2 linked regions of the Drosophila melanogaster genome follow. Changing the gene in region 1 together with any one later gene gives a genetic interaction. Each region holds a gene or a part of one and is shown on either strand. Other genes may lie near its edges.

Region 1 (6,556 bases):
CGCTTTTCTAAATTACAGTAGAGATATTTATTTATAGTTTAATGTTTTTGGATGAATAATTCGTTGATTTCATCAGGCGGCGAAAAGACTAATCCCTTATTTATAGGCACATACATATAAAAGATTCTAAAAATAGCCTCTGTTTTACCGGCTTTTAATATCCTTCTATAAGCTCTGTAACTTAACAGTTGAAGGGCTTAAACAATTTGTAATTCGTATATCTCACAATTGGGATCTACTGTAATTGTCTGTTTCTCACTTTCTCCCTGTTCCACTCACACCCGCCCAGAATAAGCACTTCGAGCATTTACCGTTTAACCATTCGGAATATAAGTATGTATGTACATATGTAAATATCTATATATTTATGTGCGGGTGTGCGAGACGTACCACGTTGTTGGTGGCACAAAAAAAGGGAAACTTTTATCCAAATGTACAAATGCAAATGTACATTACACTTATCGGCCAAGAAACAATAATTGCGCACAGATAAAGGCCGCATCGATGGTTTTTCGTTTGTCTGTAAATTATCTAATCACATGGATTTTTTCAGGCACACAAATTACCAAGCAATCGGCGAGCGCACAATTAAAATAATTGCCATTGCTTGCAAATCCCATGTACTATGTACGTACTTTTGTTTCAATATTGTTTACATTCAACAATATGGTTATTGTTGCTGGCGAACGTGAGAAAATCGCGATAGAAGACCCGGCAAAGCAACACAAAAACTATATACAGATATTGTAAATAATAAAACAAACTTCGGTCCGAGCGCCAGAAAGAGCAGCAGGCTACTGAATGCTGAATTCTGAACACTGGCGGTTTCGGTTTCGGCGGCTATCGGCTCTAAATACGAAATTCACCCCCAACCCCAGGCGCTCCCGAGCTACAGTAGAGTCTGCCTAGCTTCAACCGCCATAGTTATTGCTCCCTTCCTTTAGAAATAGTTTTAGTTTTAAGCAAGTTGCATAGAAATTTGATATCTGTATTAATTCTGTATCGAGGATTTAACTCTATATAACATTTTACCAGACACAACACTTTATGTATGACCGGTGCGTTATCTTAGTTATTTCGCTGTTCTGAGAGCGCACTGTGTATAGCATCATCGTTAGGTAGTTTTTTCCATCATCCCAAGACAAACTCCAACTCCAATCGGGCTTTTAAACATGAAACCATCTCAACAAAATTTCTTATTAGTTGTATGTATGTATATATAGCATACAGTAGTACATATAATGTAAGTATGTGAATTTCCAATTTTAATCTACTTAGGATTATTGACAATAAGATTTATAACGGAAGCGCGATAACCGTTTGATTTTCACAAAAATATTAATGTTAATCAATAACATTATTGTCCACTTCTCCCCCTCACATATAAATACATGCATGTATTTGAAATTGAAAACGCGATAAGAGGCCATCAGGGTTTTAACATCCTCAGCTATTCACGTTAAAGAAGTACCACTGTAAAATTGTTACCTGTGTGCCCCCTAGTGTGGCACATACATACAAACATTTGTATATATTTATGTACATATGTGATTTGCAGTTTCTTGCTGAAAACCATGCAACAAGTGAATGTTAAAGGAGTGGAACATTCCAATTTCGTTATTTCGATAGGTGTTTTTTAAATTATTGCGCCTAATCTCCATTTCGAAATTTAAAACACCCCCTTAATTGGGAAATAACGTTGTAACACACCAGGAATAAAAACATACGTTCAGCTCTAACAATTAAGGCATAATCGATGATCAATACATACTTAAAAGCATTCCCCAAAGCGCACTTTCAAAATGAATATATCATGTTGTTCCTAAAAGTATTCCGGTATGAAACACCCAGACTGGGCTGCACATATGTATTTAAAAGCATTTTGGGTTTTAGTCCACATCCTTTAAGCTGTTTCACAAAGTTCCATTATTGGAGATGCCGCTGAATTTGAATTAAAGCTAGCCACAGGTAAATAGTATCAAGTTTGAGTTTGGAAATCATTGAAGCAGATTACTGGAAATTATTGAAGTAAATAAACCACACATAATTTGTTTAGTCTATAAAATAGTTCCGATTTCCAGTTTTATTTGTTGGGTTTATTGGTTGTACATTGATGGAAATGTAGGACCCCGCAAGACTTGAAAACAAACTACCAACTAGCGAATCAAGAACTTAGGCAACCAGGGCGGAGGCAGTGCTCGACTCGTATTTCCAGTTGGGGGGCAGGACGCTCTTGGTCTTGTAGTAGCGGGCCAGGCGGTGGATCCTGGACTCGACCAGAATCAGACGGAACTTGCCGTCCTTGTCCTTGCGGTTGCGCTCCAAGTGCTTGCGGATGGCGACGGCCTTCTTGATCATGTGGTACAGATCCTCGGGAATGTCGGGCTTCAGACCCACCGACTTCATGATGCGCAGGATCTTGTTTCCGTTGACGAAACGCACCTGGGCAACTCCGTGCGAGTCACGCAGGATGATGCCTGTAAAAACCGGATTCCGGATTAACATAACCTCAAACAACAACATACTCGGCAGTGCTCACCGATTTTGGAGGGAGTCAGACCCTTCTTGCCCAGCTTCTTAATCTGCTCCTTGACATCATCTGCGTTCAGTTTCAGCCAGGATGGGACAGTGCGTCTGTAGGGGAGGGCTGATTGGGAAATACCCTTGCTGTGAACGAAATACACAAATGTTAGTACGCGTTTATGGCGGCGCCTGTCAAATGCGAATACGTCTGCACCATGTGCTTGCCTTTGCGGTCGATAATTAACACACTAAAACCACCGTAGAAACGCATTAAACACATTCATTCGTTCAACCCGCACGGCAGACACATTTTGCATGCATTCAGCTTGGCACACAGGCATCGAAAACAATGAAAAATTTCATTTTTACCCAGGAGCGTGCATACGACCCATCTTGATAGTCTAGTTTTTGACACCGAAAAGAAGGTGGAGACTTTTGGCACGTTGACAGCTCTACGATGTGGAGACCTGTCAAAGCAGCTATCGATAACGGGATGCTTAGCGATATTTTTTTTAATGCGCTTACAATATGTTGTGATATTCAAAACTTTACTTTAAGTGACTATTACAGGATTTATTAAAGGGAAATAGAAAGCTAATTTGTGTAAAAATAATTCATTTAGCTATCGATATATGTATACTATTGTCAGCTAGACTCTACACAAGCACAGGAGTGCTTTGGGAAGGTTTCATTTCTTGCAGCACGCTAAACGGTCACATTATTGTTTCCCGACCAAGAATTTACCAATAAAATGCATTTAAATAAATATAGTGAAGTAGTGGAGCGGCTTGAGAACGAGGAATTTGAGGTGAGTGATCGTTTAATATATTCACTACAGATGGAATTCTAGAAAACCATACTTTTACAGCAAGTCGAACTGGGAGCTGAAGTCTACCAGCAATTACTTGCTATTTACCTCTATCAAAACAAACTGTAAGTGATTGATATAAAAGAAATACATATTTTAATCTTGTGCTACAGGGCTGATGCCAAGTTGTTGTGGATGAGAGTTCCAGCTAACCTAAGGGATGACAAGGAACTGATCCAGCTGAACCTGCTCAATATTGCCCTGCAGAACAATAACTATGCCGATTTCTTCAAACACATCAAGTATGAGTGGTCGGAAAGAGTAAAGTCACCTGTGGAGGATCTTCTAAGTATGGCTATGCCTAAAAGCTTACTAATTGGATATAAAAACTTATAATGTATCTACTTAGATAAGCAACGCGAAGAGCTGTTCAAACTAATGGGCAGCGCATATATGTCCATTTACCAGCACAATCTACTGGAATTGTCACTAATGTCGGAGGACGAACTGAAACACGCCTGTGCGGCCTTAAATTGGACTGAGGAACTGGACGGTGACCGGGTAATCCTGAAGCCCAAGGTTCAGGAAGCACCGCCAGCTCGTGGAAACGATGACCAGTTGCTTAAGTTGACCGAGTTTGTAACCTTCCTAGAGAATTAAGCCTCAATAAATTTCAATACATTTAATTGGATTTTTGTATACATTTGAAGAAAAGTTATGGTCACACAGCCTGTGTCAATCTAAAAAACACTCGATTAATATCGTTATTAGACATATTTATAAATATTAGCTAAATCACCGAATTGGCGCCATTGGGTTTTGTACGAATTAGCTTTTGGAAGTATACCTAAAAATTAGGAACTAGAAACTAAGGCTACAGAATTATAATTTTCCATGTAATCTATGTAGATATATAATCATATTCTTGGCCTAATTTAATAAGTGTGATTTTAATATTCTTCAGAATTCAGTTAAATAAAATATATTTCAGAAAATCTATCGACGCGCGGAAACGCCGATAGTATCGAATGATAACCGATATGCGTTCCACCTCTACCGTTGTGTCACTTGAAGAAAAAAAATATTAATTTGCACCAACGACGTACGTTTTTCGTTCGAAAAGAACAGCAATCAGCGGATAATTGTATGGATTCTTAGAAAATTTGCAGCGACGAAATATAGTACCTTGCGAAATTATTTTGTAACCTTGAAGAAGTAAACTGCGAATCGCCAGAGGGCCAAATAGAAATCTCGTCGTTTGCCTGCAGAATAGAAGACCCGATTTTCAGTGCGCTTGTGTTTGTGTGTGAGCAGCAGAAACAGCAGAAAAAATGGCAGCAAGCGACAAATCGGTCGACGATTCACTATATCCCATTGCGGTTCTAATCGATGAACTGAAAAACGAGGACGTTCAGGTTTGTCATGTCCTAAAACCTGAAATCCAATTGTATCTCGCGAAGAATGTGCAGAAATATTCTAGTGATTAAATTTTGGGGTAGCGTGCCCACACTCCCTGCTTTATCTGCGATTGTATTTGTGCAAAAATGCGTCACGGTGTGTGTGTGCGTGTGTGCATGGGCATTTGTGTTGGTGCGAGTGTGTGCATCGAAATTATACCGAATTTCGATATACACAAGATTAGCGTTTTGCGAAAAAAATTACTATTATCAATTAATTGCAATTATGGGTATACGTCTTTATCCGCTTTTTATTTGTAGATTTTGTTATCCTTCATTTATGTATGTATAAGTATAAGTTTTTACGCATTTGCTATTTGCAAAAACAATTTACAACTGCGCGTGTTAAAAATAGATCAACTTCAATCAATAGTAATACCATAACTGATTTTAAAATGAGATAGTAAGATGAAATATTTTCGTTACATCGAATAATCTAATCACTTATCTTATCTAAAAAAGATATCTTAAGTAAATATATATGCTACGTTTTTTTTTGAAAATAAAATGTAGGGTACAGGTTGACCACCGCTTTTGTAAAAAAAAACCAATAGCCCTATCAATAATAACCTCAAAATCGTAGAATTAGTTACCACTTATCCTAAATTTGAATACCCTATTAAAATAATCATCTTTAATATTTTCCCTTACCAAAACAGCTTCGGTTGAACTCCATCAAGAAACTGTCCACCATTGCACTCGCTTTGGGCGAGGAGCGCACACGGTCCGAGTTGATTCCCTTCCTCACCGAGACCATATACGATGAGGACGAGGTACTGCTGGCCCTGGCCGACCAACTGGGCAACTTTACTAGTGAGCAAAGATATAATTTCTAATGAAAACATTTCCAACCATGTTCCGCCGTTACTTTCCAGGTCTCGTTGGTGGGCCAGAGTTTGCCATGTACTTGATTCCGCCCCTCGAGAGTTTGGCCACCGTAGAGGAAACCGTGGTGCGAGACAAGGCTGTGGAATCTCTACGCACCGTGGCCGCTGAGCACAGCGCCCAGGATTTGGAGATCCATGTGGTGCCGACACTGCAGCGATTGGTTTCCGGTGACTGGTTCACCTCACGCACCTCTGCCTGCGGCCTCTTCTCGGTCTGCTATCCACGCGTCACACAGCCAGTGAAGGCCGAGCTGCGCGCCAACTTCCGAAAGCTCTGCCAGGATGAGACACCCATGGTGCGCCGTGCAGCGGCCAACAAGCTGGGCGAGTTTGCCAAGGTCGTTGAGACGGAGTATCTGAAGTCCGATTTGATTCCCAACTTTGTCCAGCTGGCACAGGATGATCAGGTAAGCACCTGATTAAGACCAATTTAACAACACTCCAAAATATCAATCCTTATCCTTAATTTCCAGGACTCTGTCCGTCTGCTGGCTGTAGAGGCATGCGTAAGCATTGCCCAGCTGCTGCCTCAGGATGATGTAGAGCACGTAAGTTGATCAGCGCTGAAATTGTTAATACCTGTTGGCTTACAAAAAATATTCCATAGCTGGTTCTGCCCACGCTGCGCCAGTGCGCCAGCGACTCTTCCTGGAGGGTGCGTTACATGGTGGCCGAGAAGTTTGTTGATCTGCAAAAGGCTGTGGGCCCAGAGATTACTAGGGTGGACTTGGTGCCTGCCTTCCAGTACTTGCTCAAGGATGCCGAGGCCGAGGTTCGCGCTGCAGTGGCCACCAAGGTGAAGGACTTCTGCGCCAATCTGGACAAGGTCAACCAGGTGCAAATCATCCTTAGTTCCATTTTGCCCTATGTCCGCGATCTTG
Region 2 (9,093 bases), 8.0 Mb from region 1:
CGGAACTGCAGCAGCGAGCTAGCGAATATCTCCAGCTTAGCATAGTGGCATCGACAGACGTTTTGGCCACCGTCCTGGAGGAGATGCCATCGTTCCCGGAACGCGAGAGCTCAATTTTAGCAGTGCTAAAGAAGAAGAAGCCCGGCAGGGTGCCGGAGAACGAAATTCGCGAGTCGAAGAGCCCGGCACCCCTGACTTCTGCAGCGCAGAACAACGCCCTTGTGAACAATTCACATAGCAAGCTGAATAACAGCAACGCAAATACGGATCTGCTTGGATTAAGCACTCCGCCATCAAATAATATTGGCAGTGGTAGCAATAGCAACAGTACGCTCATTGATGTTTTGGGCGACATGTACGGCAGCAATAGTAACAACAACTCAAGTGCCGTGTACAACACGAAGAAGTTTTTGTTCAAGAACAATGGTGTTTTGTTTGAGAACGAAATGCTGCAGATCGGTGTGAAGAGCGAGTTTCGCCAGAATTTAGGACGATTAGGCCTTTTCTACGGCAACAAGACACAGGTTCCCCTGACAGTAAGTAAATTAGTTTCTGAAACATTCCAGGCATTACATTGCTCTCTTTTCAGAACTTCAATCCTGTGCTGCAATGGTCTGCCGAGGATGCGCTTAAGCTGAACGTGCAGATGAAGGTGGTGGAGCCAACCCTGGAGGCCGGCGCCCAGATCCAACAACTGTTAACCGCGGAATGCATCGAGGACTACGCCGATGCGCCAACAATCGAGATCAGTTTCCGCTACAACGGCACCCAGCAGAAGTTCAGCATTAAACTGCCATTGAGCGTTAACAAATTCTTTGAGCCTACCGAAATGAATGCGGAATCATTCTTTGCACGATGGAAGAACCTTAGCGGGTATTTAATAAGGTGTCTTTTGATAATATTCAATATTAATTGTGCATTTGTAGTGAACAACAACGGTCACAGAAAGTGTTCAAGGCTGCACAGCCACTGGATTTGCCCGGAGCCCGCAACAAGCTTATGGGCTTTGGAATGCAACTGCTGGACCAAGTGGATCCCAATCCAGACAACATGGTCTGCGCGGGCATCATTCATACGCAATCGCAACAGGTGGGCTGCCTTATGCGATTGGAGCCGAACAAGCAGGCTCAGGTGAGTAATTTATTGTTAGATACTTGGAACATAATGCCTATTGCCTATTTCTCAAATTATCAATAGATGTTCCGACTGACAGTTCGGGCAAGCAAGGAGACCGTAACTCGGGAAATCTGCGATCTGTTGACGGATCAATTCTAAGCCACAACAATCATGGACGGGGTGATGGAGACGGAGCTGCGAAGCCATGGAGCAACGGCAACCACTTTACAATGCACAATCCCAATTACCTAGAGAAATATCAAAGCATACAAGGCCCTAGAACTGTACGCGTTTAGTTATGCCAGGCACACTCCTACACTCTTCTTAAGTACCTTTCATCTTCTCCAACAGCGAGTTGATTTACCCACTGTCCTGTTTATTTGAATATTATGTTTGTAAACCTACTCTTACTTTAACCATTTTCAATTTCATGTTCCCAAACTTTTTTGTAAATGTTAAGCTCAAAAAGTTCATAGTAGAGAAACGAGAGAACATAATTAGATTATGTTTATATGTATGACAAATTATATATTGTTGCATCATTTCGAGGCAGTAGCAATTGGATATTATATACCTATATACAGATCTACATACATTCATACAAACCACATACATATACCTAGTATATACGTCGTTGTAATAAAAACAGAAATCAATATAAAACAAAAGAGAAAAGCTTGCAAGGGAATTATTAAGATGCCTGCAAATGACAAGTATGCAAATCGTTATCTAAATATTTATACATATATTGATTATTGCAATTGCATCTAAACGAAATTCATGTTTAATGTTTTTGATTGTAAAATCCAATGGAGGACCGCAAGAGCAGAAATCTCATTAAATAATAGACAAATAATTAGACAGATCCACAAAATCTCCTTGATTAATCACTGTTGAGCAACTTAAAATTTATTAACGATAGGAAAAATTTCCCTATTGAAGAAAACGAAGCAAAAATTTCAGAATATTATTATACTTATAGCAGAATTTTTTGAATGATTCTGGGTAATATTACGTTTCGTTTGTGTACCATAGATAAACTGAGAGGGGCTACTTCATGTTGTGCCGCTTCCTGAAGAGAAAGCGATCTTTGTAGCACCAAGTATTAACTAATCTGAAGCAGCAGCAGCAGTAGCCGCCAGCCATAAATCTGCTAATGACTCTCTTCAAATGCGAGACGGCTGCCGATAAAGAACAAAGAATTGTAAACTAAAATATACACTATATAGATACTGATACTGAAAACCGATAATGGAAACTGACATCAAATACTTATTACCATTAAACTCTCGATCCTTTCGTAAAAACCAATGTGCATGACAGCTGGAAATTTAGGCATTTCCAAAGTGCAATAGTTAAATGTTACAAAATTCCACACAAATTCCATTTAACACTCACAGACAAAACAAAAGCAACTGCAAGAGCAAGAAAACCAAGCCACAACTACATATAGCAAGTGCAGGAATTTAACTGTAAACGTAAACCAATATGTATTTAAATAAATATAAATTGAAACCATTTGAAAGGTGTTTAAAACGTTTCCACGATCTGGATATAAACACTTGGCAAGCACAGTTGTATTTTACGTATTTATCTTTATTACGATTAGCGCACGGGTTAACATAGGACCTAACAATAATTTTAGATTTAAATCAAATTTCATTTAACTTAAATCTCGCATTAATGTTGACCGAACTCAATTCGGTAACCAGATACTTAAAAGAGAATGGTATCTCGATCATCGATACAGAACTGTTATCCCCGCACAAGCGACACGTATCTGGCTGAGAAGAGAGTCCTCCCGTCTCATTTCGCTTAACAATGCGTTGCAGAGGCGCCAGAATGGAGCCGCACTTGTGGCACACCAGGGTGTGCGTCTTATCGGAGTTGTGGAACAAGCGATCCTGCAGCAGGAAAGCAGCACCGTGAGAGATCAAAGCATCCCGTTCCATCTCACCGAATCTGACGCCTCCACCGCGTTTTCTGCCCTTAATTGGCTGATGGGTCCGAGCTTCCACCGCTCCCGTAGATCTTACTTGCCACTTGTCAAACACCATGTGCCGAAGACGCTGGTAATGCACCACTCCAAAAAATATGTCAGCAGTCATCTCGCGGCCATCTACGCCGGAATACAGCCTCTCCGTTCCGTAGTAATTGTAACCCCCAGCCTCTAACATTTTGCCAAAATAGTCAATAGCAGTATTCTCTTCGGAGAAGCGAAAAGGCGTGGCATCGTAAACATTTCCGTGGATTGCAGCCCCCTTTCCCGCCATCGTTTCTATCATCATGGCGATTGTCATTCGGGAGGGGAAGCCGTGGGGATTGAACACAATGTCTGGAATCAAACCAGATTCCGTAAATGGCAAGTCCTCTGCAGGATATTTTTGTGAGCAAATTCCTTTCTGACCAGCTCTTGATGCAAACTTGTCTCCAATAGTGGCAGGTCGTGGAACCCTCAGTGTGATGGCCACCATTTTTTTTGGCGACAAATCGAAGCTTCCCAACTGTCGGATGCTCTCTACTATGCAATCCTCCTTTTCATCCATTTTCACAACTTTATAAGTGGCGACCTCTCCGTCAAAGTAACAGTACAGGGGCGAACCATAGCTCAATTTGGAGCCCGGATGTGGAAGACCATCCGTGTCAAGATGCTTTATTAACTCCGGCATGTGTGGATGCCTTGCGAAGTAACTGCTCTTCTTGTCCAACGTCAAAAACTTTGTTTTGTAGATACTTCCATAGGCGAATCCTCGTTCATAAGCAGCCTTGTTGATGATCATAGCATCTTCCATGTCGTAGCCCGTGTAGGAAATGACAGCTACAATAGCATTTGTGCCCATTGCAAAGTCATCCAGCTGGATGTTGTCGTAGTGTACTGGTCGGAAGAGAGGAGTCCCTGGCGTCTGAAGGCGGTATAACTTGTTGGCCGCTTGCTTAGGCCAATTCAAGCATGGCGTTCCCATCGTCTGTTTTCCCATCTGACACTGGTACATGTTACGTGGCGATTGATTGTAGTCCGGCATGGGTATCAAGTTGGCCAAGTTGCTCATGAAGTGGGTCTTAGCCAACTCCAAATGAGTGGTGAAGTCAGGATACATTTCCTTTGCATCGATGGCGATCTCCATATAAAGCTGTTCCAGTGTTCCGATGTACTCCACCCTTTTCCACTTTAGGTTCCAAACGGGCCTCATCATCCTGGCAGGACCCGTTGCAATGTAAAGCCCTGGAAACTGACCGTTCTTCTTGAAGGGTATAAAGCCGATTTCCATCATCTGGGGAAGGGTGCCGAATATCTTCCCGTAGCGCAATTCGTCAACTATTTTTTCGGCTTCTGATTGATGAATGTGACCCAAGTGTTTGCCATCTAGGAAGACGACGTAAAGTTTTTCGCCCAAATATCTTCGGTTTGACAAGGGCATCATGCCCATATCTATAAGATGCTTGGGAATGGCCTGAAAAAAAAAGTAATCGGTTAAAATTTCTAATAAAGTCTACCATTAGCTGTACCCACCTTCACCAACTTGGGATCGGGACGCATCGAAATCTCGCAAGTTAGAGTCAAATGATTTAACAGTCCGCACGGTGTGCCATCAGGAGTGTGCACTGGACAAATAAAACCCCAGGCATCCGGGAGCAGCTGCCGCGCCTCAGTGGTTCTCATCGTTGTAAAATAGGAACCACGGTGGATGGCGCGAAAGTGGGACATGTAACGCATCCTGTTAATGTTCTCCGCCATAATGACTAATCCGCTATTTTGCATTAATCCCAGGCCAGTGCGACTCGCAATATTTCCAGTTGCTAAAAACGACTCTATGGCCCGGCCAACTCCTCCTGCTTGTCGCATGCACTGCGTCATCACAGCACTGGTAACTAGGGCATCAGGTGAAGTCAGTTTTTTTTGAAGGCAACGTCGGACTTGCGAGACCCAGGATTCGACTCGCTCACTTAGGTATTTCTGATAGAGATGGCCTGGCAGAAGCACTTCCTGCATCATAGCTGAGTCGACGTTCTCCACTTTGTACTTGCCCTGTGCGCATTGGAAAAGCTTCTGAATCATAAACACAATCAACTGGAACTTATCCTCATAGGTATCCAGGTGAATCATTACTCGCTCCCTAAGAATAAAGTCTGTGACATCATCATCCGGTTGCCATTCCGGAACTTCTGGGAAGCGGGCACGGAACAGATTGCCAATGAAGCTCTTGCACTGGGCGTGCGTATAGACGTTTTCATTTTGAACTTCCCTCAACATGGCTTGCACGCAGGACACATAGTACTGGTCGGACTCGTAGCCTTGCACCAATCTGTTGTATATTTCCTCATCTGTATAATCCATTAGGCACTTGAGGATCAGGCAAACTGGTACGTATGATAGTCTCTTGACGTGAGAAAACATAAACTTTGCAGTTCCATTGTTTAAATAATGTACTACATTGCTCAGGGATGATTCGTCCTCACGGACCGTTTGCACTAACATACCCAAATCGCTAAAATTCTGTCCACGATCCTTCCAGGATGAACGTTTTACACATATGGGATGGTTCCTCCGGGTCATGATCAACATACGTACAATCTTCTCATTTCCTCGGATCACAAAAATGCCCCCCCACTCGCTGTCGTGCTCTCCATGTTTTACCATTTCTTCCGGAGTAGCCTGTCCCAGATTGCAGGCTTTGGAGCGCAACATGATGGGCACTTCTCCTAGGTCCATGTTTATGGGAGTCTTTTGCACTCCATTGACACTCCACCCCAATCGGACCGAGCACATTCCCGAGTAGGAGACATGGAGCTGCCTGGAGTCCGTGGGGTAAATCTCTCGGGTGCGCACATCAATCACATCTTGCGGCACCTTTGGCTTCGCTATCCATATTGATTCTACTTTCATTGAAATCTTTTCGCCGGCAGGACTCAGCCAGTGGTTCGGGATCATGTGTTTGGCCGAGTTATCCAGTCCCACGGTCAGCATCTCGTCGAAGGAATCCACATGTGGACCTCCCAAATTGGCCAAATGCTAGCCATAGAAGTAAATCTATTAGCACGAAACCTTGCTATAGGTACAAGATTGATATTTACCCTGCTGAGTTTTTTAGGTATCTGCTTAAACTCCGGGCGGGAATTGGTCAGCACTGGAATGGTCTTCATTTGTTGCATCTCCTCCAGCATGTTGTAAGTATTATTCTTTCAGAATGCCGACCAAAAATATTAAGAAACCTATTGCCTTCCTTCGCACGTGTTGTTTGGAATCGAACCGTTTTGAATGCGAACCAGTCAGTGGTGAGGCAGTCGCAAAGAACTAGTTCATATATTATATTGTTCATATAACTGAATGAAATAAGAATATAGATGATTGGGATAAAAATTTTCGGTAAATAAAGAACCATCACTAAAAATTTGTATTCAGATTAATAGAACACACTAAAATAACCTTAAAGTTCGGTGAATTGTCGTATGGTTCCGATTCGTGTTCAGCTCATCTTTAAATAACTGGGCTGCCAACCGAATGCAAGGAACAGCTGATATGTGCGCGCTTGATAAGCCTGATAACCCAATTTTGAATTGTATCCAAGTTGTATAAAAGCAAATATAATTTATTTGCAACGTCTGACATATTGTGCACATACGGCAATAACCATTTAGCATTTGCAAAGGCATCCGGTATGTAGAACACAACTCCTGCGGAAATGAGACTTTGCAACAGGATGTGCCAACGTGTTGCTCTGGCAATGAAGTTGTTGCATTGTTGTGAGCCACATAGGTGGCGTATGTATGCACATATGTATGTATGTGCATATTAATCTGAAGCACCCTCCCCAAAATACGCCATCTAAAGCTTCTAAGAAGCAGTTTTGTCGAATACTTGGGCTTAAACCCCACTGACTGGCACATTAATGTCTAATGACTGCGAGAATATGAAAATTTTACTAACATTATATTTCGTCTTAAGATAGGTGTTAATCAAGGCTGATGCCAGATTTCTTAATTTTTCTTGTATTGGAATTGCCAAATTACTTTGTTGGGTTTTAACGTGAAAACATGAAGTGGTTGTGGGAACATCAAGAAAATATCATCAATTTGAGATGGTTCAGGGGCTAATGGAAAAGGAAAGAACCCCAATCTGAACGCAGTCACTCCGGTTTATTATTCCATTATAATGAACACAATGGATTTCTTGCAACTTATTTTGGGCAGAGCGTCCTTGATGCCTGGTTCTTGTATCCTTGCTACTTTCAACTTTCGCTGCACATTTGCCTGTGTGCAATCTCTGCAAAAGCTGAGGGCGTTCCTGGGGCCCAACTTTTGCCTGGCGCTTCAAGTTTTTAGCAGAATTTTTTCCCTTTTGAGTCGCTACAAACAACAGAGAAACCTAGAACTAAGGGGCAGAGCGAGGCGCCATGGCAAATTGCATTGTTGATTTTCATTTTCAAGCCTGGCGACACTTTGCCAAATGTGTGCGCCATCCTTCCTTCCTACCCCGGAAAACCCTTCACCGTCCTTGGTTTGGAATCGTTGCTGCGTGTTTCCCACTTTTCAAATGCGCGCACTGGGGGAAAAAAACAGGAAGTTGGCGTGGCCAGTGCAAAAATCAGCTAGCAAATGGATTTTCATTTGAAACTTTCGCGCGAAAGATTTTCATTGAGTTCGGGGGTGCGCGGGATACCCTATGCCACTATCACAAATTGGTTAATAAAGGTCCAGAGATTTATTCTCTTTAACGAAGTGATAATGGTCAACGAATGTGGGTCAGACAGGGGTGCGCTAAGAAAAGTTTGTGATCGTGTATGAATTGAAAAATGAATAGGATTGTGCTGTATTTAACCTTGAACATGTGTTCATACTCACCCAGAGTTTTTACCTAATACCAAAACTGAGAGTAATGCTAATTCTTTTGTATGCTTTTTATATGTAATTAAAGTTCCTGATGTTAGGAAACATCGTCTTCAAAACAGTGCAGATCATTCACCTAGTAAGTGTTGCGGATCTTTCTCTTTCAGCTCTTGACAACTGGTCTTGATCTTCATTTCTTGACAGGCGATGTGGCAAGAGTTTTGTTTTGTTTTACCCCTTACTCATAATTAAAATGACGCTTGTGTATAATTTTAGACGGATTCATCTGACACGTTCTTCTAATTAAAATGTGCATAAAACTAAAAAGAACAATTAAGAATGTGAAGGGAAGAGTCCTAAGAAGACTCTCAGACATCTTGCCAAACCCTCAACATAACAAGAATCTCTAATGCTCGAAAACAAAGCATTTTATGTTGGGAGTGCCGCCGAGAGAAGCCAAATTCGTTTGAAAGCAGGAGAGATCGTAGTGGGTTAAAAATAGCAGAATCTATTCAATGTTTTCTCAGTTTTTCCCGAGCTGGCTAACCGAAAAGTTGCGTTCGACCGTCGAACGGATAGAAATTAGAACCCGAAAATTTTCCAACGTCACGTATACATATAGAAGTTTATCATATGTATACTAGATATTTAGTTTAGTTACGTTTCTCCTTTTCCGTATCTTTCGAAGTTCAATGTGCAAGTGAAGAATATTTAATGGAAATCGGGACATTATTTTTTCTCGAACATCCTTGGTTGAAAAGTGAAAGTCAATAGATAATTGCGAAATCTGCAAACTCGTGTGTGATCGTCGCACACAAATATAGACACCGATTTTTGTTGGTATTTTCCCCTGCTGGTATTGGTGCCATATCAATTGGTGGCGATCTGTAGATCGGTGGATCTTGGGCTTTCTTTGTGCCGACAAAGAGTTCTTCTCTAGAAGAAAAGTCGCATTAAAGCGAATCGTAAATTTAACGCTCGCCAGGCGAATCTGCATTGGTAAACAGATCATCACAACCGCATACCACAGCTCGTTCGTCTTTGTTCTGTTGGTAAAGATGGGAAATGCCGAGTCCACACAGTCTGCGGATGATACGCAAATGCAGATGCAGCAGTCCACTGATGACGAGCCCTGGTGGAACAACATCGAGC

Evidence for each region. A genetic interaction does not mean that the proteins touch.
Region 2: of RpS13 (region 1) and Polr1B, changing one suppresses a phenotype caused by changing the other (phenotypic suppression), as found in Drosophila melanogaster (one study listed by BioGRID).

What each region holds. Positions count from the first base shown.
Region 1 is NT_033779.5:8,361,649-8,368,204, forward strand, and holds RpS13 (ribosomal protein S13), read right to left. Parts: upstream 3,015-6,556; 5' UTR 2,916-3,014; coding exon 2,893-2,915; intron 2,668-2,892; coding exon 2,540-2,667; intron 2,478-2,539; coding exon 2,173-2,477; 3' UTR 1,829-2,172; downstream 1-1,828. Other genes in the region: CSN8 (COP9 signalosome subunit 8), read left to right, coding at 3,275-3,331, 3,392-3,456, 3,505-3,680, 3,741-3,991; Pp2A-29B (protein phosphatase 2A at 29B), read left to right, coding at 4,663-4,746, 5,448-5,601, 5,664-6,082, 6,149-6,223, 6,283-6,556.
Region 2 is NT_033779.5:401,570-410,662, reverse strand, and holds Polr1B (RNA polymerase I subunit B), read right to left. Parts: upstream 6,379-9,093; 5' UTR 6,280-6,378; coding exon 6,190-6,279; intron 6,128-6,189; coding exon 4,628-6,127; intron 4,569-4,627; coding exon 2,769-4,568; 3' UTR 2,694-2,768; downstream 1-2,693. Other genes in the region: AP-2alpha (adaptor protein complex 2, alpha subunit), read left to right, coding at 1-536, 590-873, 927-1,131, 1,198-1,275; CG4213 (uncharacterized protein), read left to right, coding at 9,000-9,093. UniProt on the Drosophila melanogaster protein: DNA-dependent RNA polymerase catalyzes the transcription of DNA into RNA using the four ribonucleoside triphosphates as substrates. Second largest core component of RNA polymerase I which synthesizes ribosomal RNA precursors.